Linked DNA regions of Danio rerio. The protein of the gene in region 1 purifies or fractionates together with the protein of each later gene. This does not show direct contact. Links are inferred from orthologs where the notes say so. Each region holds a gene or a part of one and is shown in the gene's direction. Other genes may lie near its edges. The genes, in order: ppp2r2d, sertad4 and ier5.

Evidence for each region.
Region 2: the proteins of ppp2r2d (region 1) and sertad4 purify together in Homo sapiens (affinity purification with mass spectrometry; 3 studies listed by BioGRID and IntAct, counting the BioPlex papers as one, with this or other methods). This does not show direct contact. The link is inferred for Danio rerio from reciprocal best matches to the Homo sapiens genes PPP2R2D and SERTAD4.
Region 3: the proteins of ppp2r2d (region 1) and ier5 purify together in Homo sapiens (affinity purification with mass spectrometry; 3 studies listed by BioGRID and IntAct, counting the BioPlex papers as one, with this or other methods). This does not show direct contact. The link is inferred for Danio rerio from reciprocal best matches to the Homo sapiens genes PPP2R2D and IER5.

Annotation. Positions count from the first base shown.
Region 1 is NC_133187.1:43,833,813-43,837,571, reverse strand, and holds the start of ppp2r2d (serine/threonine-protein phosphatase 2A 55 kDa regulatory subunit B delta isoform), read left to right. Parts: upstream 1-1,609; 5' UTR 1,610-1,760; coding exon 1,761-1,767; intron 1,768-1,987; coding exon 1,988-2,062; intron 2,063-3,759. UniProt on the Homo sapiens protein: Substrate-recognition subunit of protein phosphatase 2A (PP2A) that plays a key role in cell cycle by controlling mitosis entry and exit. Involved in chromosome clustering during late mitosis by mediating dephosphorylation of MKI67.
Region 2 is NC_133188.1:35,234,718-35,238,476, reverse strand, and holds the start of sertad4 (SERTA domain-containing protein 4), read left to right. Parts: upstream 1-1,147; 5' UTR 1,148-1,634; intron 1,635-3,759.
Region 3 is NC_133197.1:16,200,858-16,204,075, forward strand, and holds ier5 (immediate early response gene 5 protein), read left to right. Parts: upstream 1-1,204; 5' UTR 1,205-1,398; coding exon 1,399-2,211; 3' UTR 2,212-2,688; downstream 2,689-3,218. UniProt on the Homo sapiens protein: Plays a role as a transcription factor. Mediates positive transcriptional regulation of several chaperone genes during the heat shock response in a HSF1-dependent manner. Mediates negative transcriptional regulation of CDC25B expression.

The DNA of each region.
Region 1 (3,759 bases):
TAAAAATGTTTTATGTAGAAAAGTTATGGGAATAACATATTTTCCAAGCCAGTAATGTTTGCTGGTAAAAGTTAGTTAATTTTATGAGGAGTTTATTCGGAGCAAAATTACATTTCAAAATTAATGGGAGACCGTCAATTTTATTAAACCAATAATTGGGAATAAAAAATTGAATTTTATTTTTTGAATTTGATTTTTTTTTTAATTGCATAACAAGAACAATAGCATACAAAAAATGAGCAATACAATGTTTACATTTTATATGTAATATGTAAATATTTCACTTTAAAGGAACAAATCATTAGAAAAAAGAAAAAAATTAATACAAATAAAAATAAAATTACAAGGGATATAGACGTTGCAAAAAAAAAAGTATAAGAAAATGATTCCAAAATTGCATACATTCTTATAGCTTTTTTTTCTTTCTTTTGGGGTTCCAATATAATGCTCAAGATTAATTTTAAACAAATGAATATTAGACTTATCATTGGACCATTTTTGTTTGTGTATATGGTACTTCCCATATATTATTATTAAATTAATAAATAAATTTTGCTCCAAGTTTTATTATTGTTGTAAATCAAAAAACACATCTTTACAAGAAAACTAAATTTTTAATTTTGTAAGTTTAAACATTGAATTTCAACTACACTCTAAAAATATTGTTTAGACAAAACAAAACAAAAAAAATTAATTAACGCACCAGTTTGCATTACTATATTCAAGTTACAACAACATCTAACAAAATAAGGTTCAGACAACAAACTTTATTATGTTAGCCAAATCTTTTCCTCCTCAATCAGAGGCATTTTCACATAGCAAAAAACTCAGATTTTTAAGTTGAGTACTCAAAATAAGTTTTTTTAAATTAAAATTGGAAACAAATCCAGTGTTATGTACTTAATTACATGCATGTTTTCAAGTTTAGAACCTCAAATAAATTAAGTAGCTGAAATTGTTGAGTTTTTTGTTTGTTTTCGAATTTACTGTTCATGCTTGTAAGAAATACATTTAACAGCAATGTTTTTGTTAACTGGTATTTTTTTATTTGTATTAAACCACAGGTTTCCTTTTTTTCCTTTTTTTTTTTACAAAACAAAAACATGTTCTGTCCCATATTATCAGTACAAAAATAACAAAAAACATCAGTGTGTGGACTTAAAAATACAAAACAACTCCATTAGTGTGTAAAAATTGAGTTATCAACCCAATTTCGTAGGGTTGCTTTAAGTTAAATATTGTTTTAAAGTAACTGACAGATATATTTATCTTTCAATTAGCCGCATTTTTAAATTGATGTAATTATCAATGTTTATTTGTTTTGAAAACTTAATAAAGTTATTCTGGCTACTCAAAAGTTTTAATCTAATCAGCATATTAGAATTTTTAAGCTACAATAGTGTATTAAACTATGTAGTGGTAACAGACCTCTTGAGTTATTTTCTAGAGTGTTATATTAGGGATGCACTGTATGACAATCAAGGGCGTTTGGTGTTTGCGTAACTCCCACGCTGTCTGCGTAAACCTGAGCGCAGCGAGGACGCGCCGAGCGCAGGGCGCGCTTGATTAAATGACGTCACTGTGTCATGTCGACGGACAGTGTGCGCCATCTTGAATCGAAACCAAATCACGGGCAGATCCCGCTCGCGCCGATCCCGCGCGCCTCCACTCGCTCTCATTCCGCACTCGATCGCACCGTCCGGCCTCCGGAGCTCCAGGATAAGCCGCACTGAAGGCTCGAGGCACAGAAACAGGCGATGATGGCAGGTAAAGGCGCCGCGCGGGGGTTTGTGTTGGTAGGCGGGGGCGCGAGCGGCAGCAGTGCGGCCTAAACATCAAACCAGCCCCCTTAACTGACACCAAATCAAACCCACAGCCACTGCTGTATCTCGCGCGGGGCAGGGCTCGACCTCAGGGTGTTTAAATGCTCGTTGCAGGCCGAGAAGAGCATGCATTTAAATGCACTGGTGTTGTTGTGTTTTTGCAGGGGTTGGTGGAGGCAATGATTTCCAGTGGTGCTTCTCCCAGGTCAAAGGAGCCATAGATGAAGATGTTGCAGAAGGTAAATAACGGGGTACATTTGGGGTTTAAACGTACCTGTGTGAGTTTGCATGAGTGATTAGTGCATTATGGGAGTTTTGGATGGAAAAGCATGCATTGTGGGGTATGATGTGAAGAGATGGAGGCTGAGAGCTTCCATGAAAATGGCAATTGTTTTTATCAGAAAGTGTTTCTGCGGGGTTTTTTTATTTATTATTCAAGTAGTATATGGGTTGAAGACGTTTAACTGATCTTCTTGAGCTTGAAACTTGCATCGTTGTACTGTAAAATGTTTTTGGCTTTCATGTTATCGACTGCATGTGGTCTTAAAACCTAAAATCTGAATAACTAAATCAAACAGTGTCAGGAGTAATGTAGATTTGGAAAGTCACTGTCATAAAACTGCACATTTATGAGCTATTATTGATCTTTCCCCACCGCATACGATGCGTAAAAGTGCTATATCAAATAATAGTTCAGTTTAAAATAAAGTGAATCTTTATTTTAGGTATTTATAAAAAGGGCTGATGACTCATGATGCTCTCAAAGGAGTAGTCCAGTCAAATTCTCTCAAATGAGAGCGTGTCAAAATAATTATGATTGATTATATGAACATTAACTACTGAATGACTAAAATGTAGTAGATTAAATAGATTAAAGTAAATCGAATGATCCTTCGTATTGCACAGATGCATGCGTAAGTAATAAAGTGCATGATTGTGTGAATCCAAAATAAAAGCTTATTGAAGAAAAAAAAAGAATAACTCGATCAAAAATTGCTACGATTTATCAAATGTATTACAATTAATTGTTTCATAGAGATAATATTATAAAAACTGAATGGATCCTTTTCTATGAGCCGATCATGACATGTTTGATGGTCATCAGCATCTTAATCCTTTAAAGTTTTGGATATTTCGATTTTGTTTGGTATATTCAGAGTGGCTTTTTGGCATCTTTTATTGTACATCCCATCCACCAGCTTCCTATCTGAAAGATGTTTAAGCATAGTGGGTCATTCAACTTTGCAATTTGTAATGTTCAGCATGTATTTAGATATTGATGGCTTGCTTCTTTACTTGAAAGCTCAGATTGAGGTTTAATGTATCATTATTATTTACACCTTACAGATTTTCATCTACCTGTACCATTGCACACACTTAGTAACATTTATTTATCAAGTTTAAGAGTCTCTTTAACACTAATGTTTATTATAAAAAGATCAGATATTTATTTAATATTTTTGTTTTTGACTATTTAAACTATTTGCGTTAGTAATGTTGGTAAATTAAAATAAAGTGGTTAAAAAAATTCTAATATTCCTAAATGTATTGTTAAAAATGTTTAATAGTTATCGATACCGAAATGATTTGAACCATGATATCTTGATAACTTTTTTTTTGCAATATCGGCCAGCCCTATTTATAACATCCTCGTTTCGGTAGACACCGTCAAAAGGTTCAGCCCAAATGCTCCTGAGAGACCTAACATACCAATGCTACCCCAGATAGTCATGCAGTGTGAAAACATCTGTGATGCGACTACTTTGAAAATCGTGCTGTCTGAACTCGCAAAAGATTACTTTTATTGTCAACATTTCTCTCAGTTAGATATTCCCATGCAAAACATGCTGGGAACTACAAATGCCTTAAACAGGTAGTTGGATCAACACAATTACTTCATGTCAACTAGTGGTGTAACGGATCACAAATCTCACGG
Region 2 (3,759 bases), on another chromosome or scaffold:
TAAAGAGACAGAGAAAAAGAGTTTTAAAGTGCTGGTACAGCAGACCACAATGCATGGTTTCCATTTATTTCAAAGATGCAGTTTCTCTGTGAAGCCCCCAGTCACCTGGAAAACTATTTCAACACAGGGCTGCTTTTCACACAAGAAAATAAATGACGGACTCTGGCACAGAAGTGAATGTCTGCTTTTAACTAGAAACAGGGTGTGTTTTTTGGAACCTGAAGTCAGAGGAAAACTGAGCAAGAAAAAAGCCTTTGTCTCTGTGTGTGTCTGTGCACGCTTGTTCTTGTGAGGATGCGTTGCTAAAAATGTCCTTAAAAATAAGGTGAAGCTAAAAAATATATTCAGAAAATCTGCCAAATAAAATGTACCATAAAATTAACTAAATATTTAGTTGAATTCTAAACTTTTTTTAAAACAGTAAGTGTTTTTATATCACAATAAAAGATGCACATACAAATATAAATATACATTTTAATAGGATAACAACAATAATTAAATTACATTGTGTCACTTGTAATCTCACGTGTCTAAACTACACACTAAAAACGCTGAGTTGAGCCTGTTTAGGTCATTTTGTGGGTTGGTTTTAGTTTTGGGGTTGTTATGCTAATTGTTCAGCATTTGTTTCACTATACTAATGATATCTGAAATTGTCCTCAAAACTGTTAAAAATAATAAAAACTAGACATACAGCAAGCAAATATATAGTAAAACTTGCTAAACAGACTTGTAATTAATATCAGTTAGTTATTTAATAATACATTATTAAATAAAAGTACAAATAAATAACTAAAATAATACAGTGCATCATTTATAAATAACATTAAATTAAATGCAAGAATCCCACATGCCACCCACATTGAGTTTCTAACGGGTGCGTTTAGCAAAAGAAAAACACAAGTCTATGGGTCTTTACTGTAACGTTATAGGTGCGCGTGACAGAACAGGGGGTTATGGCGGGACCTGAACTGCAGCCAGAGAGCCAAAACCCACTCACTCCACCTCTTCTATAGGGAAGACCAGAGAAAAGCGCTCCTGAAAAGGGAAATGTCTAACAGATGATTGGCCTCGTGCCCGCCCGCTCCACTTCTCCTGCGCGCTCCCGGTGCAAGTTAAACGCAGCTCTTCTGCTCTGACCAAAACCAGACGCGCACACAAACACACACGCAAACCGCCGAGGAGGCACTGCTGCTGGGACGAGACTGATCCGGAGCAAAAAGCTGTTTTCTGTTTGTTTCAAGGAATGGGGCGACGCTGCTCGTGTCCATTGACGTTAACGACTCCCGTTGAAAGGAAACGCTGCGACGTTGCACCGTCTGCCGGTGAGGTCACTGAGGCACAAAGCGACGCGACCTGCGCGGACACGCAGCCGAGATTCCGTCACATCACAGCGGCTTTGTTCACACTGTGACTGACTGACTGCTCGTCTTTGGATGATACTTTCCCCGTCGAAACCCTATCGATTTCTGCAAGTCGGCGAGGCTCGCGCTGATGGATCGTGGATAAGTAGTTATTGATGAAGCCAGCGGGACCACAGGAGCGGAACGAGAGGGAAAACAGAGAGCGACACGACTGATTGCGCTTCAGATATAAACATCACATCTCTGATTTAGTCAACTCGTGTGGTAAAGGTAAGCAAGAATAATAAAACATTACTCAGACGAATATCAGAATGAGTTACACGCCAGCAGCCTCCTGAGGCAGACAGACATGGCACCGTGCCAACACTGAGCAACTATACTCGTATGATCTTTTAAGGGTTCAGCCACAAGGGTACACACAGATTACTGCATTTCACTGCAAGTTTTACAGATGAAATTGGCATATGTGCTATAAAAAATGCACAAGGTGAGGTCAGTGCATTACATCCTGAAGTCACAATGTGTGATTATTTTTTTTAAAGTAGTTTGTTTAAAGGTCATGATGTCTGTTTTTATTATTTATAAATAAAATAATGAATAATTAAAATGCTATATATTTCATTTTTCATAATATTAAAAAACACGATAGTATCTTTGTCACATTTCAATTAAAGTTCATTTACTGGTGAGTTGTATTAAAGGGTCCTGCAAATAAATGTTTTTAAGTCAGAAAATCATGTTATTGTTTATATATTCATATTTTATTTTCATTATTTATCAAATGTTTATTTAATCTGGTCTCTTTAGAACATTTTAATATTTTTTTGTTTAATTTTGCATTGTATTGTAAATGAATCTTTTAAATATTTTTATTTACTAAATTCTATACATTTCTAAAAAAAAATTAAATCCATATTCAACTTTTAGATTTATGTTTAAATTAATTTCTCATTTCCTCAATTTGTTAATAGTTTGTTAAACTGAGCCCAAATACACTTTGAATCTCTAAAGAAACTAATGTCAGTAAGGTCACACAAATACACCGTTCCTTTCACTCATCAAAACACTCAAGCTCTTTCCCTCTCTCTTTGTGAGTGCGTGTGCGTGCTGTAAGGGCAGGGAGCTGTTACAGCTTGATTCCCTTACAAGGAGATGAATTGTACAAGATGAAAGCACAATAAGTTAATAGTTAGACACAGAGTGTGAATATTTGTCCTCATGAATGCGCAATTACTGCTGCACAGGAGAATTGAGCTGTGGTGTCTGCGTAGTGCAAGTCTGGAGACAATTTGTGTGTGTGAGGCTATTGTTGTTGTGTAAGAGAGCGGCGCTGTTGTACGTGGTATGTGTGTGTTAGTGGGATTATTTCTTGCTTCATTATCAAGTGATGGGTTCACTGCGCTGGCTGTGGCATCTGTTCCTGGTGCCGGGGGGCAGGAGTATGTATGTGTGTGTGCTTGTGGGTATTCCCCCTGAGATCACTGTGCCAGTTTAAGAGTGTCTGGCATACCGCCACGCATTGATCCCTCCATCTACAGCAGGCACAAAGGAAAACCCACGCAATCGTTTACCGCCTGTGGTTCTCATCAGTCCGTTCCAGTCATTTGTGTCTGGGCACGGTGAGGATTTACTTCAAGAGACTTGTGAGGAGTCTGCGGGCTGCTTGTAATCATCTAAAACTTCAACTAAAAGGGCCGTTTCAGAATGCTGTGGTTTGGGAGGGACACACACAGCACATCCTGTACTGATCATCTTCCTGTCAAACCTTCAATCACACTCTGGAGTGACTCACCTCATTCAGACACCCACAACATAAACTGCAGATGCACATTAGATACTGTATGTGGTGAGAACTGTACTGTCAGCAAATTATGGTGTGTGCTGCACAATCTGATCGAAGGTACTTTTATATAAGTAGGTTCTTGTGTAGTTGTTGAGTAACACTCCTCATTGTTCCGATTAACACAATTAATACTTTTAATAAGTATTGAGCAAGGGTAAAACAATTAAATAAAACAGTAGTAAAGTAACAATGATGTATTATAATAATATATTCATATATTATAATTAGGGTGGCACAGTGGCTCAATGGTTAGCATTTTTGCTTCAAAGCAATTGATGATTCGAGTTCCGACTGGTTCAGTTGGCATTTCTGTGTGGAGCTTGCATGTTCTCCCTGTGTTCACATGGGTTTCCCCCAGGTGCTCTGATTTCCACCACAGTCCAAAGACATGCGGTATAGGTGAATTGAAAAACCTAAATTGGCCATAGTATATGAGTGTGAATGTGAGAGTGTATCGGTGTTTCCCAGAACTGAGCTGCATCTGGAATGGCTTCCACTGTGTAAAACATATGCTGGATAAGTTGGTGGTTCATGGCACTGTGGTGATCCCTG
Region 3 (3,218 bases), on another chromosome or scaffold:
ACATTGGGACAATTGTTTTTGTTTACATCCCTCAAAATGGTCTATATGGACGTTGTTTTTTTTAATGAACAACAATTTAATCGCCCCTTTAAAAACAGGAGCTTAACACAACAACAGGGTGCTGATTTATGACTGATAGTAAATAATAATGCTTTCATTTTCATTTATCTGTGTGAGCTACTTCAAACAAAGCATTGCAGAATAAATTGTGCGGTAGTCATGGCTGTAATCGTTTATATATAGATAAACAGTCTTACGTCACAGCCTGCTCTTCCTGTCAGGTTTGTTTATGACCCACATCTTAATGCAGGCAGACTCACAAACCAACACGCACGGATTATTCATTTAAGAACCAGACATACACACGCAAAACGAAAGCATCGACGTGATCTTAATCTTCAATTGAGGGTAAAATCTCCCACACTGTTCGTGAGTAGCTGCTAACTGTTTCTTCAAACAAAACATTGCCCTTCCCCCCACGGGCAGCTCCATTCACATTTGCCCAGACACCGCAGTGGATTTGCACAATAGAGTCATGTGACACGACTGTAGCAGACAAACCATTACATCAGTCGAGGAAGTCAGTTGAAAAAAATTAAAGGGGAAGTAGCCTTCTTTCCCTTTTACCAGAAAACACAACGATACACTATGCGGAAACCGTGTGATGGTTATTATGTAGCGATGGATATATCTGAAATGTTAATATTTTGAAACAAAACATATTACATAAAGGGATAATTCTGGAAAACAACGTTAAATGTAAATCATGTTTTGGTATACGTGTATAGGGTCACATTTGGCTTGTTTTAGCTTCTGTTTACTTGTGAAAACGGTGTTGTGTTTCAAATATAGTTTATTTTTAACTTTCTAAACAAATACAGCCTGAAAAACACTGAGAAATATAAAAATATCCGTCTATTTTAGCTTGAAAACAATTCTTTCCCTTTAAGCAGTTCTCCCACGTTAGTATTTAAATATGACTCATAGCTGAAGCGCCCTTTCATTGGCTATCGCCTGTTTGGCGGGGTGTGATTCACAACTGTGGCAGAGCGCAACTCGCAACGCGATTGGCTAGTGTAGCCGCTGACGCCGGAGTATAAATGCGAGTTAAAAATAGAAACGGTCTCATTCCTCCCTAGACCATTGTTGGGTGCTGAAGAGAATGTGTGAGGTAATAAAATCTCCTACACTCACCCAATAACAAGATCTTGTATTTTGTATATGAGAATGAAGCCAACAAAACACGGGATTTGATCTACAGGAGGAACGGAAAAGCACTTGGACGTTGTTGTTTACTAACGGCTTTCGCGTTAACGTTTTGAAGAGAGAGGAAATCAAAGGCGAAACGCCCGGCGAACTTTGCACCGTTTGTGAACTTTAAACGTATCGATTCCAGCTATGGAATACAAAGTGGAGGCCCATCGGATTATGAGTATCTCCTTAGGGAAGATCTACAACTCACGCGTTCAGCGAGGCGGCATTAAACTGCATAAAAACCTACTGGTTTCACTGGTCCTCCGAAGCGCGCGCCAGGTCTATCTGAGTGACTACTACAGCGGCGCGTGCCTGAACGCTCAGAGTGAACGCGAAGGGAACGAGTGGGACATCACCGACTCCGAGCGGGAGAAATTCCCTCCCTCTACAACGGAATGTGACCGAGTAGAGAGCCCTGAGGAACCTCAACTCACCGAACAGCCCGAGGCGAGCGAGAAAGAGCGGGAATATCGCGAAAACGACGCTGAGAAATCAGAACGAGTGGATTGTACTTCCACTTCTGAGCAAGAAAGCAACCAAAACTCTTCTTTAGACTCGGTTTCAACGGAAACCACTACGGAGAGTCCCTCAGACACTACAGTAGCGGAACGCGACTCAACGCCTGTGGTGGTGAACGGGGAATCACATCAACCACCCAAAACGCATGTTTGTTCTTCAAACAGGAAAAGAAGCGCAGAGGAGTCAGAAAGTGGCGATGCGCCTCAAAAAAGGACCAAAGTTGCTTCCTCAAACACGAAGGAAGACGAGGAAGAAGCCGAGGAGATGGACACGGGGAACGTCTCCAACCTCATAACAATATTTGGTTCCAGTTTCTCAGGACTTCTCAGCAAAGATGGCACCAAACCTGAGGCCGAGGCAGAGGAAAGCGGTCAAATCTGCTGCGACCAAATGTTGAAAAACCTAAACCCATGGAGTACAGCAATTGTAGCTTTCTAACTGTATCGTACTGTACTTCTCATAACACGTGGTCAGGCCTGGGCTTCAACAACGTACTATGGGGGACTTCCCAGAAAGCATGCGTGGTGGTGCCACCAGAAGCACAAGCTCGTTTTGGCCTGGACTTGCCTTTCTTCTAGTGAAGGAACTATTTGAATGCTGGTGCTACTCTTTGGGATTAACAGTTCTTGAAGTGTTGAACTCTCAAAAGCCATGTGAGCGAATGGTATTACAACAATATGCAAACGTGTCATGAAGGGTCAATATTACATTGTCGCTGAAACAATTCAGGGTCGATCAACTTGACTGTACGAGGGTCAGGCCACTGTTTTTAACGTCTTTGTTTTATAAAGACCTGTACATTTTGTAATATCCGAGTGTGTGTATATATTGTCGCCAATGTCGCATTCTGAATCTATGTATTTTGGTATCATGACAATTTACGTGGAGCTCACGTATTAAAAAAATGTGAAATTACCATATTGTTTCTGTCCTTTATGTTCATGAATATTCAAAACTAATGTAATGATGTCAGCTTTTAATTTATATTTAAATATAAAAAAATTCCAGCTTAGGGGTAGGCCGATAATTGATGATATATCAAATCGTGATAAAATTTACATCAGTAACCGATAAACTCTGGACTTTTTTACTCTATATTGATCTAAGAGCCAATCACACAGCAGAAACGTCCTACAATGGGAATCTAAAATTGAGATGTACCAAATTTTTGGCCACCGAATATTTATCGGACGAAAATGTTATGCAATTTGGACCTTCTAATTGTTGTGGCTTCTGTCATTGTTTTAAATCTGCAAGTATTACCAACTTCTATCAAAATATATATCTCGTTATCGTTAAATATGGAAAATAATTGTCAAGATTACATTTTTGCCATATCGCCCAGCCCTACTCCAGGTTCCCACTGAACAAAGCTTAATATAATTTTGTATCCATCACCTGCAGATCTAACAGATAATCTAATCTTTTGGGGTTAATTTGAATCT